Drosophila melanogaster: one gene and its partner. Changing the gene in region 1 together with any one later gene gives a genetic interaction. Each region holds a gene or a part of one and is shown on either strand. Other genes may lie near its edges.

The links.
Region 2: of btd (region 1) and Dll, changing one suppresses a phenotype caused by changing the other (phenotypic suppression), as found in Drosophila melanogaster (one study listed by BioGRID).

What each region holds. Positions count from the first base shown.
Region 1 is NC_004354.4:9,692,145-9,698,170, reverse strand, and holds btd (buttonhead), read right to left. Parts: upstream 3,986-6,026; 5' UTR 3,498-3,985; coding exon 2,764-3,497; intron 2,325-2,763; coding exon 1,124-2,324; 3' UTR 613-1,123; downstream 1-612. UniProt on the Drosophila melanogaster protein: Required for the development of the antennal, intercalary and mandibular segments of the head.
Region 2 is NT_033778.4:24,813,152-24,817,960, forward strand, and holds the start of Dll (Distal-less), read left to right. Parts: upstream 1-1,670; 5' UTR 1,671-2,285; coding exon 2,286-2,416; intron 2,417-4,442; coding exon 4,443-4,618; intron 4,619-4,809. UniProt on the Drosophila melanogaster protein: Transcription factor that plays a role in larval and adult appendage development. Specifies the identity of ventral appendages (including legs and antennae) and suppresses dorsal appendage development. Involved in patterning the distal-proximal limb axis.

The DNA of each region.
Region 1 (6,026 bases):
ATGCTGAGCTGCGGGAAATGGGATTAAATTAATTTCGCAGCTAGGAAAAGGACCGGGGATCTGGAATCTTGAAGAGATCTAAAAGTGGTAAGCCGCTTTTAGTGAGAAAAACTACTATTAAATCACATCCGATTGTTATGAAATTCTACAACTATGTGTATCTTGACTAAATAAATCATTGTATTTAAGGATATATACATATCACATTCGTACCTTTATTTATGCACATTTTAAAGTAAAGCAATCTATAAATGATGTACATCTCCCAAGCTAACAATGTTTTTGCAATTTTAAAGCGATGGCCGACGTTGATGAAATTATAACTAGAAATGCAGACAGCTATAATGATTGCTATTGAAAAAGTTTCTATTATTATCCAAATACCGCCAAAGGTCAGCACCCAAAAGCAGATCAAGTTCGCCGGAAGTCGGGAAGCTTCCTGGATCCCTCGATTTATATGCAAGAAAGCAACCCCTGGCGGAGATCAAACAACCCTGAAATCTAACCAAGCCAGGAACCCATTAACAAGGGTGCGTCGGGATCGGAGAGAATAATAAAAAACTGGATTCGCTTTGTTTTCCGATATTATTTTGTTCGTTTTTTTTTTTTATTGTTAGGATTTCATTTCAGTGTGGGGATTTTGTCGCCTTGGATTTTTCACTTTTTGTTGTTGTATATAATTTATCTTAAAGACAATTAACAATTATTATGGTACACAACTAGATGGTTTCTCTCATTCTATATGGTATGGCTTAAAAAGAACGCTATATATGTTTGTATGTACAGACATGCAAAAAAAAATGCCTTAGCTACTAGATTGGGGGAAAAAAAATGAAAAAAATTCAAGTTCTAGTCTCTACATGTATAGTTAATATATGTGTATGTATATATATATATATATATTTATATAATATTATATAATGCCTTATACGGTATTTTGTGAATTCAAATTTTTTTTTGATTTTCACATTATATTTTTATATCAACAATAAACACTGAAAAAAAAACACACACTAGATTTTCGTTCTACGCTTGCTTTGTTGCCGTTCTGGGTTTTGGGACATTATGGCATTTGTTTCATCAACTTTCAACTGTAACAATTTTGGGAAGGATCGGGGACATCCTAGGCGGTGGCATGTGGATGATAGGCCGCTGCCCACGCATTGTGATGGTGCGGATGTGGATGCGGATAACCGTAACTGGCTGTTCCCGCACCAAAATCAGCCGGATAACTGGCCGCATACTCGGACTTCATGTGGCAACTGGAGCTGGAATCCTGGCTAGCTCCGCTGGCCAATCCGCTCATGGTTAGCCCATATTCCGCCGCCAGCTGGGACTCACTTTGCATGGCAAGTGCGGCATAATGATGCTGGGCCAGCGCCGTGGCTGATGCGGCTGGGGAAGATGCAGATCCAATGGCAGAAACGACCGCTGCCGCTGGGGAACTGGCGCTGGAGGATGAGGATGAACTGGCTGAGGTAGTGGCTGGTTGTATGGCACGGCTGCTGCTACTGCTCCACGGCTGCTCCACAAAGCTGGCCGCCGCCGATGATGTTGTCGTCGTCATCTGCTGCTGGAAGAGCGGCGGCGGTGGCGGCGGAGGATTCACACTCGATCCGGCGGATGTGGAATGCTGATAGAGATTGGCATAGGGCGCATAGTTGACCAGCGGTGTCGTATCCGGCTGCTCCTGCTTGAATTCCACGGGTGGCGTCAGTGGCTTACCCGACTTCTTCTCCTTCTTTTCCAGCTTTATCGCCGCAGCCGCCTGCTCCTTGGCCTCGGCGGCCAATACCTTCTTGCTCTTCTTGTCCTTGAAATGGGTCTTCTTGTGCTTGCTGAGGTGATCGCTGCGCGAAAACTTCTTGGAGCAAATGGGGCAGGCATACGGGCGGTAATTGGTGTGCGTACGTCCGTGCCGCTGCAGCTCATCCGATCGGGAGAAACGCTTGCCGCACGTGAGGCACAGGAAGGGCCGCTCGCCGGTGTGCCAGCGCAGGTGGGTCTTCAGATGCGACGCCTTACCGTATAGCCGTTCGCAGCCCGGAATGTGGCAGATATGCTGCTTGCGTCCGCGCTCATCCGGACCCACAATCGGTGGCAGGCCGCTCATCTCGTTGGTGCAATTGGGACACGTGCAGCGAACGGAGCGGCGTTGCAATTGCGTCTGGAAGGCGATGTCGTCGAAATTGAAGCCCGGATAGCTCTGTGAACTCCATGGCTGATAGAGGCGCTCCTGATGCGAGAACCAAGCGGCCGAGGAGGACATGCCCACCGCATTGCCGTAATAATCGGAGGCGTACTGGGCATATGGAAACTGACTTCTAGATGGAGAAAAGAAATGAAGACAGAGAATGGTTAATTTGGTTTTTTTTAATCATTTACTTAATGGGTACACCTGCTATCGGAATACTAAATTGTAATGTATTCAAGTGGTACCTATCATTTTATAAGTTTATGAGATTATTTGTATGCTAATCCATTTCAATCTTCGGGATAATTTGATTAATATATTCCTATGTATTAAACTGTATAATTTGCAAAAGATATATGTCTTTATCTCGCTCATGATCGAAATACAATCAGCCTGTAGTTATTCTATTAAAAGGAGATCTAATTCAGATCGAAATTAGTGTATCCCTAATAACCACAAATTTGATGATCTATAAGCTTTGATTTATTGATCACTAGCATTTTAAAGTTTCTTTCTTACGAATGATTCCCAACTCAACTTCTGTAAATCCTATATATAGGGATATTTACCTCGCTGGCCCCAATCCGGAGTAGGCGGTATTCCAGCCGTAGGCGGCACTGGCGACCGCCGCTGCTCCAAGGTCCGCTGCTGCCGCCGCAGCTGCTGCTGCCGCCGCTGCAGCCGATGCTGCTGACGAGGATGGTGAGGAGGATGTGGGTGATCCCGCTAGGGCGCCCGCTGCCGCCGTTGTTGGTGGCGCCAAGGTCGTGGTGGGCGTGGATGGACTAGCCGAAATGGAGGCGAATGACTGGGCAGGTGATGGGAAGATGCTGGGCGACACGGAGGCCGATGATGGCGCCGATTGTATGCTGGAGTTGGGCGATGCGGTGCCCGTGGATGAGGCCTGTGGATACGGCAGTTCCAGCTTCATTGGCGGCTTTCCATATAGCGGAGAACTGCCGGAGCTGGAGCCGGAACTCGAGCCGGATAGGGATGGTGGGGCGGACAGCAGGGCGGCGGCGCTGAGGAAGTCATGTTGCTGCTGTTGCGGCTGTTGTTGTTGCTGCTGTTGCTGCTGCTGTTGCTGCTGTTGTTGTTGCTGCTGCTGCTGTTGCTGTGTCAAGTGTTGCATATGCTGCTGTTGCGCCTGCTGATGCGACAAGTGCAGATGATGTTGCGCCTGCTGCATGTGCAGATGATGTTGCTGTTGTTGCGCGTGTTGCTGATGTTGCGCATGTTGCTGCTGCTGCGCCTGATGCTGTTGCGCATAGGGATTTAAGTAATTGCAGGCCGCATCGATCATGTTGAAAACGCTTGCGATTTTAATGTTGCGCTGAGATTTGTTTGGATCCTACTGCTGCGATTGCTGCTGCGTTTTACTGCTTCTGGTTGCTACTGCGTTCGTTAACAATTTTCGCACATTGCTCTTGCACTTATTGATATTCGCTCGTGTAATTATGGCACGCTTTTCACTTTAGTTTTATAATTATAGTCTTTTGCTGCCGCGCACGTAATTGCGAGCACGCGGAGGAGAACACGGAAAAAACACAAACAAATTAAAGGCGGCCGAAAATTCGCCAATGCTGCGTGCAAATATATATATATATATATCCCTCTATATATACAAATCTATATGCATATATATATATATAGATCCGAAAACGAGCGAGTTTCTCTGCTGCCACTGCGGCTGGCTCTTCTGCTTCTTCTTCTTTCGTTCGTAGTGCTGCTGCTGCTGCGCGTGATGTGATGTGATACAACCACCGGTAATTATCGTCGATTGTCGACTGAATTCCAAAACGCGGCGAGAGAGTCTAACAACGTACAAAACGAATCCACTTGGCTGCGGGCAGAGGCGCGGGCAGAGGGCAGCGGCAGCGCTGCTGCTGCTCGTGCTGTCACATTCTCGCACTCGTCTATCGCCACTGAGCGCTGAGCCAGCTCTCGCTCTCTCTCGCTCTCGGCACCATCATGGTGGTTGTTTTTGGCCGCAACGGTGTGCCTTCGGGGCAACTCGCTTCGTCTCGCTTGCACGTGTGGCGCGGAAGTGTCACTCCCGGCAGCAGCAGCCACTCTCCGTAGCTAGCTCACTCTCTCTCTCTCTTTCGCTCTTGCGGTATGGTGCTCTCTCTCCACGTTGCTGTTGCAGTGTTGTTATTGCTGGCGCTGCTGCCGCGGGCGTTTTGTTTTAATTTCTATGTGTGGGTTTGTGTGTCAAAGCAATTGGGTGAGCATGCGTTTTGTTGTTGCTGTTGTTGTTGTCGTTTCAGCTAGTGCTCAAAATGCTTATATTTGTTGTTATTGTTGGTTATATCTAAACTTTAAGCCAAAAATGTTGGCTTAAATTTAATGCAAAGTTTGTATTTAAGAATATGTGTAAATAATTTACATTATTAGCATTTTTAGTGAAGTATTTGAAATATTTGATTAGTGAAGTATTTGAAATATTTTATTATTTAGTTGGTTAATCTATATATTCCATAATTTATGTTTATTTTAACCCTATCAACCCCTCAAAATGTGTATAAAATAAATAACGTATTCACGTATCCTTTGCAATTCAAAATAAAGAGCTTAGCAAATATTTTAGAAAAATTGTATTAATTTTTTTTAAGTCTGCTAACTTAGAGATAGTTTCTAACTACAAATTTAGTTTTTATTTTCAATTTTAAACATTTAAATTTCTCATATAAACCTTAAGTACACACAAAATATAGGTATTGTTACATATATCCGACCGATTTTTAATGCCCATAAATTACTCGACATTTTACACATTTCAAGTACCGTCATTAAAAGCACGAATATCTGCTTAAATTCTCATTATCCCCTTGCCCACTCAGACCATCAATTTGTTTCGATGAAAGTAAGCAGACAGAGAGAAAGAAGTATGGCTCATCACTTTAATTAAATTAAAATTTCTGTTTAATGGCATTTTTCTCCAGAGGATCCCAATGATAAAAAGTAACGTTAGAAGACGAAGAGGGAGCGTGCATAATTCAAATATCAATACAATAACAATAAAAACTAATAAATTTGTGGTCGCGGCCCAATGAAATAACTGTATTTAAAGGGGCGTTGACCAAACACCACCACAAAAGAGACAGCAGCTCTCTCCTTCGCTCTCTCTCTCTCGCATGGCCTGCGCCCGTTTCGTGTGTGCGTGCGTTTGTGTATGCTTGTGTGCCGCATATTAATCACAATTGCTGTTGCTGTTGTTGTTTTCGCTCCCTTTTTATTACGCGGCGTCTTTTTTATTACGCATACGCAACGTGGGTCTGAGCCACAAATTTTACGACTTGCTGCTGCTGTGAAAAGATAATGATGACTCCCAAAACGGAACAAGCTCACGGAAGTGCATCTCGACTCTTAAGCTACCCATTGTTAAGATGAATATCATTATGTAGGGGATTTCTTGGGATAATATGAGATTTAATGTTTAACCAACTGATATGACTCAATACTATTGCACTCCAAGTATTTCTGAGTTTCAGATATATTTTACTATGTGTCAAAAATTGTTAAGACTTTTTTTAATATTGTTCAAATAAACATACAATTTGTTATGGGCTTAAATAAAAGAAAAAGTTGTTGTTCCTGATTTGTCAGTATTATTCGTAAGTGAACAAGTAGTTTGTTACAATACAAACAATTGGAATATTAACTATTAAATATTTTAGAATACATCAAAATCGAGTATGCCCAAGTTGGGCTTTACAGGGTACCAGCCGCACTTCTGGGCAACATGTAATGAAACGGAAGATACAATTATATTGAGGCAAGCAGGGCAACAACGAGGAGCCTGTCTCGTACTGGCAGTCTCCTCCTTGTC
Region 2 (4,809 bases), on another chromosome or scaffold:
TAGTCAAGCACAAACAGCGCAGCCCAGGCGCCTCACTGGGAAAAGGAACAGTAGCTGCAGTGCAGTGGCTAGCCCGGGCTAATCATAATTTGCATTTAATAAATATTTCATTAAGTAATTGCAACAATTACGTGCATTTGCAGTGCTACCTTAAATTAGTGCAGCGCAGCCGACCAGGTCATAACTCGGAACGGCGGGCTCCACAGCCGATCCGATCCGATCCAATCCGGACGAGGGGATTAGCATTTCAGTCGGATCAGGCGCTCAATTACCGCTGGATGCTCGATTTATATTTACTTTTATAAACAAACTTAATTCGATTTTTGTGGCACTCTGGTTCTGGTTAATAGCGCCGCTCCGACTCATGCATATGCATATTTTCCCACTTTCAGCGGAAATCCTTCTCAGGTGACAACTGCCTGCTGTTGGGAGAGGGGAAAGGGGTGGAATGGAGACCGCTTTGCCGCCGCTTCAACTGCCAGTTAGGCTAGGCGGACAAAGGTGGAAATTCCGCTGTTCTCTCCGCTCGGTGACTTTGTCTTGTGAATGAAAAAGTCCGCTCGAGCAAACGGTCCGTGTCGCTTGGCCCTAGCCACAAAGCGACATTATGTGGCCGAAAGGACGCCATTTTGAATTGGGCCTACTCGAGCTCTCTGCCCTCTCTCGAAACGCTCAAGGGGGCGTGGCGAGGGAGTTTCTGCTCTCAGCAGGGGGCGTGCTGGGTGCGCAGGTAGTATGTGTGTGTACGAGTGCGGCTGCGAGGGTGTGTGTGTGTGTGTTTGACAGGTGAGCAGGTTGGCCCGATAGACTGGTTTGTCGCTGCCAAAGGCGGCCACTAGGTGGCGCCACAAGTACCAACTCCAAGGAGGCTTTAAGACTCCCTAGAAAGGATTTTCAAATTAAAGGTTCCATTAGAAAATGATAGCAGACCTGTCATATATACCACGCTATGTTGTTTGTGTGCGTAGCGTTTTTTCCTTACAAGCAAGCCCACCGATTGTAAAACGTAAACAAATCATTAAGTTAATTCGTCTGTTGTCCGCAACTGTTGATTACCCGTGGAAATGCGTGTGCCACAGTTTCGATTGATCCGAAAATAAGACCCGAAAGGAGCAGCGGCTAAATAAGAAGACAAATTATAGGTTCAACAATCAATTTAATAATTGAGACCTTTGCATTTAATCAACATTATTTAAAACGTCAAAATATTTGCACTTTCCACGGGCAGTTCCCCCTGGAATTTGCATATACACGCCGTAAGTTCCCCAAATCCGTGGGGACGCGGGGCGACAGGCCACGCCTCAATCTCGATGCGGGCCCTAGACCTAGACAAAGTTGACGAGTTGAGCGGCACAAAAACGGGGTCCCAGAGCCCAGCCCCACCCCCGTGCACCCGGAACGGGGAAATTTATAGTATTGGTGCGGTTTCTGCACCACCATACAGAGACACCACCGAGAAAACCGGTTGCAAACCACCCGATTGGCGACGCTCGGCGAGAGTCACTGCCAGCGGCTTGGGCCTCAGCAGCCGTCCCGCTCCGACGCACGGCGATGGATGACATCTGCGCCGCTCGCACACCACTGCTACAGAGCGGCAAAGCGGCACGGCCGCAAAGCGACAGCGCAGCGAGTCGAAGTCTCGCGCAACCGCGCCGCGAAAACCTCACCTAGTCGTATACGCACTTTGTTCGTGTGCAGTCGTCGCCGCTGTTCTCGCCGTTGAATTGCCGTCGTCGATCCGTCGTAGCGTTTTGCGCCTTGCGTTTCTGCGTCGAGCTAAGTGATCCGTCGCGGACTATAAAGTGATTTGTAGTGATCTGATCTGATCTGATTTGATATGAATTGATTTGATTGATTCGCAAAACGGAGTTGAAAATCGTGAAAATCTACAAAGAATATGCACAGCCAGAAATCGAAGTGATACAAGAAAGCAATTTCGAGTGAGTTGAGTTGCTAACAAGTTGAGTGTCAGTGCTGAGAAAAGTGCCTCCTCGCCATCTGAAAGGATTTACGCGCTCAACAGTTCCGCCAAATCAAGTCGCCGAACTGAACTGAAGCCAAGACATTGTGTCCTACAAAAACCTTAGATACGCAAGCCACACACTCCTACTGTGCAAGTATAGCTGATCATTGCCATCGGATCTCTGAGAACTTCCTTCCCGCGCGCATCCCCCTGAACAGCCGTCAAAATTCTTGATAAAGTGGCCTCAATAGGCGCCAACACGCTCAATTTCACGGACCTAGGGAGCCCCTACGAGGGGCCTCCCAGCACCCCCCAGTCGGGCATGGACGCCCCCGACGCCCCGCACACGCCCAAGTACATGGACGGCGGGAACACGGCGGCCAGCGTCACGCCCGGCATTAACATCCCGGGAAAGTCCGCCTTCGTGGAGCTGCAGCAGCACGCCGCCGCCGGGTGAGTGTCCCCAAGATCAGTGGAGTGGAGTCACCGGGAGGATTGCAGAAAGTGTTTCGGCGAAAAGACTCGATCCCCTCCAGACTTCAGCCCTGCCAAAACCAAACCTATCGGAACTCAATCTCAATCTGTGCGGAGCAGTTGACACACCCGAGAAAAAAGGAGTTTGTGGCCAGGGCGTTCCCAAAACTCGAATATGAATCTTTTTAATGAATCTAAAGAGCGCTATACGTACCATAAAACCATTTGGTCTTTAAAATCATTTCATTCATTTCAAGGGAAAAAGTTAGTTGGCATAGGACTACAAGCTGCATAATTGCATAAATAGATAATATAGTACATTGACATTACAATAAACAAATTCAATTTTTAATAATAAATAACAGTTGGTAAAAGCAAGCAGTTAAATAAAGTCAGGTTAACTCAAGAGTATATTGTCTAAGTAGTTCATATAACTTTTTAGGGTCTTAATTACTGATTACATTACAATAGCCAATAGTCTTATTTCGATCGATACATAAATTTTACTATTAAAAAACTTGTATAATTATTAGTTGTCTTAAAAAATGAAAGCAACCAATTGTAGATTTATGAATTCGTCAATGTAATCCAAAGTTAAAAATTATTTTGACTTCCATAAAAATGTACTTCTAAAGTAACAAATGTAGTATAAATTCGAAATCACAATTTTAAATTTCAATTTGCCAATTCGCCATTTAGCCTTCTCTAGGCCCTCAGCCAAATCGACTAAGACTGAATCGATGAAAGTTGCCGTCAGCTTTCCATCTTTATGATACTATTTTCGGGATCGATTTCGCGTTGGGGTCTCGCTATACTATTAGTTTTGATTAAGAAAATCACTTCAGCTGCACTTTCCGGCTTACAGTTCATGCTGGTGCCTGGCTGGCCGGCAGCGGAAGCCAAAAATAAATTCAATTAAGTGTAGTTTACTCCCGGTCCGTGTTCTAAATAAGCGTCTGATCCGGAGGGTTCTGTTCCTATCCAACAACACGTTCCTCATGGGGTAGCAATAAGTCGGGCTCGGTGGTCTGTTTACTGTTACCGCTCACTCGGCGAACTGTTTGCAGCCGCAAATTGTTTTCCCAACGCACGATTCGATTTTTCATTATACATATTTTATTGCATTCTTGGTTTTGAGCCTTGCGGTTTCCACTGCTCTGTCATTTGTGCGTGTTGGGCTCTTGGGCTGGGACGGGACTTGGAATGCTTGGCTGCGCCGACCAGCCCTCGGGAGTTGTTCCTGGCCACGACTTTTCTCCGTCCCCGGAGTGGCTGCCATGTTGTTCGCTGTTCGCTGTCCGCTGTCCGTTGTCCGTTCTCCGTTGTCCGTTGGCCGCTGTCCGTTGCGGTTTCTGCTGCTTTCGGCCCGCTTCCGTTTCCGTGTTTGAGGGGCCAGGAGAGCATTGAATATTTCATGCAGTTCGCTCGGAACATAATGCATGGGAACTTGCTCAACTGTTTCGCCCGCAAAGTGTTAACAAAATATTTACCGCGAGCGAGCGGGACTGCAAACGGAACTGCGGACCAAACCGAAACTAAAACACAGCGACTCTGACACTCGTATTGATTTTTCTTTGATATATTAAGCCGCATCCAGTTCGGGCTTTGGATAGGTTTTGGTTTTGTTTTTGGTTTCGGTTCTGGTTTTTGTAAATGAAGTCATGGCAAAAATTTCCTTCCTCTCCGCCAGCCTAATTTTTTGTTGTGAGAGAAAAAGTTTTGGTTTCGACGCTTCTTGCATTAAACATGAAACATTTTGGGCCCACTTTTAGATATTTTCCCGACCGAACGCTCGTCCTATGCTCGGCGACGTTTGAATTTAATAGTGAATAGTGAAAAGTGTAGACAAAACACGCAAGTAGGAAAAGTTTTGTCCCCGGCACGATTCATTCACATTCACAGCCGGTGTACGCCACTTCCATTACTTCCACTACTTCTTCCACAACTGCCACAGCTATATTACAGCCCCGTATTGATTATTTTCCGTGCATTTGCGGCATTCCAGGTACGGCGGCATCCGGAGCACCTATCAGCATTTCGGACCGCAGGGCGGCCAGGATTCCGGCTTCCCCAGTCCGCGCAGCGCCCTCGGCTACCCGTTCCCGCCAATGCACCAGAACTCCTACTCCGGCTACCATCTGGGCAGCTACGCCCCGCCCTGCGCCAGTCCACCGAAGGATGGTAAGTACTGCTCCTCCTTATCCGATCAGTCTCAGGCCCAATCCCAGTCCCAATCCCATACCTACTCTCCCAGAGATCCGGGTCTTTTGTTGAGAAAGAGATCTTGAAAAGATCTCGCTCGTTGCTTCCCTGTCTATTTTTTGGCGACACTTCAACTCGAGAGCTCAACGCCGTCGAGAGCCATTGTGGTC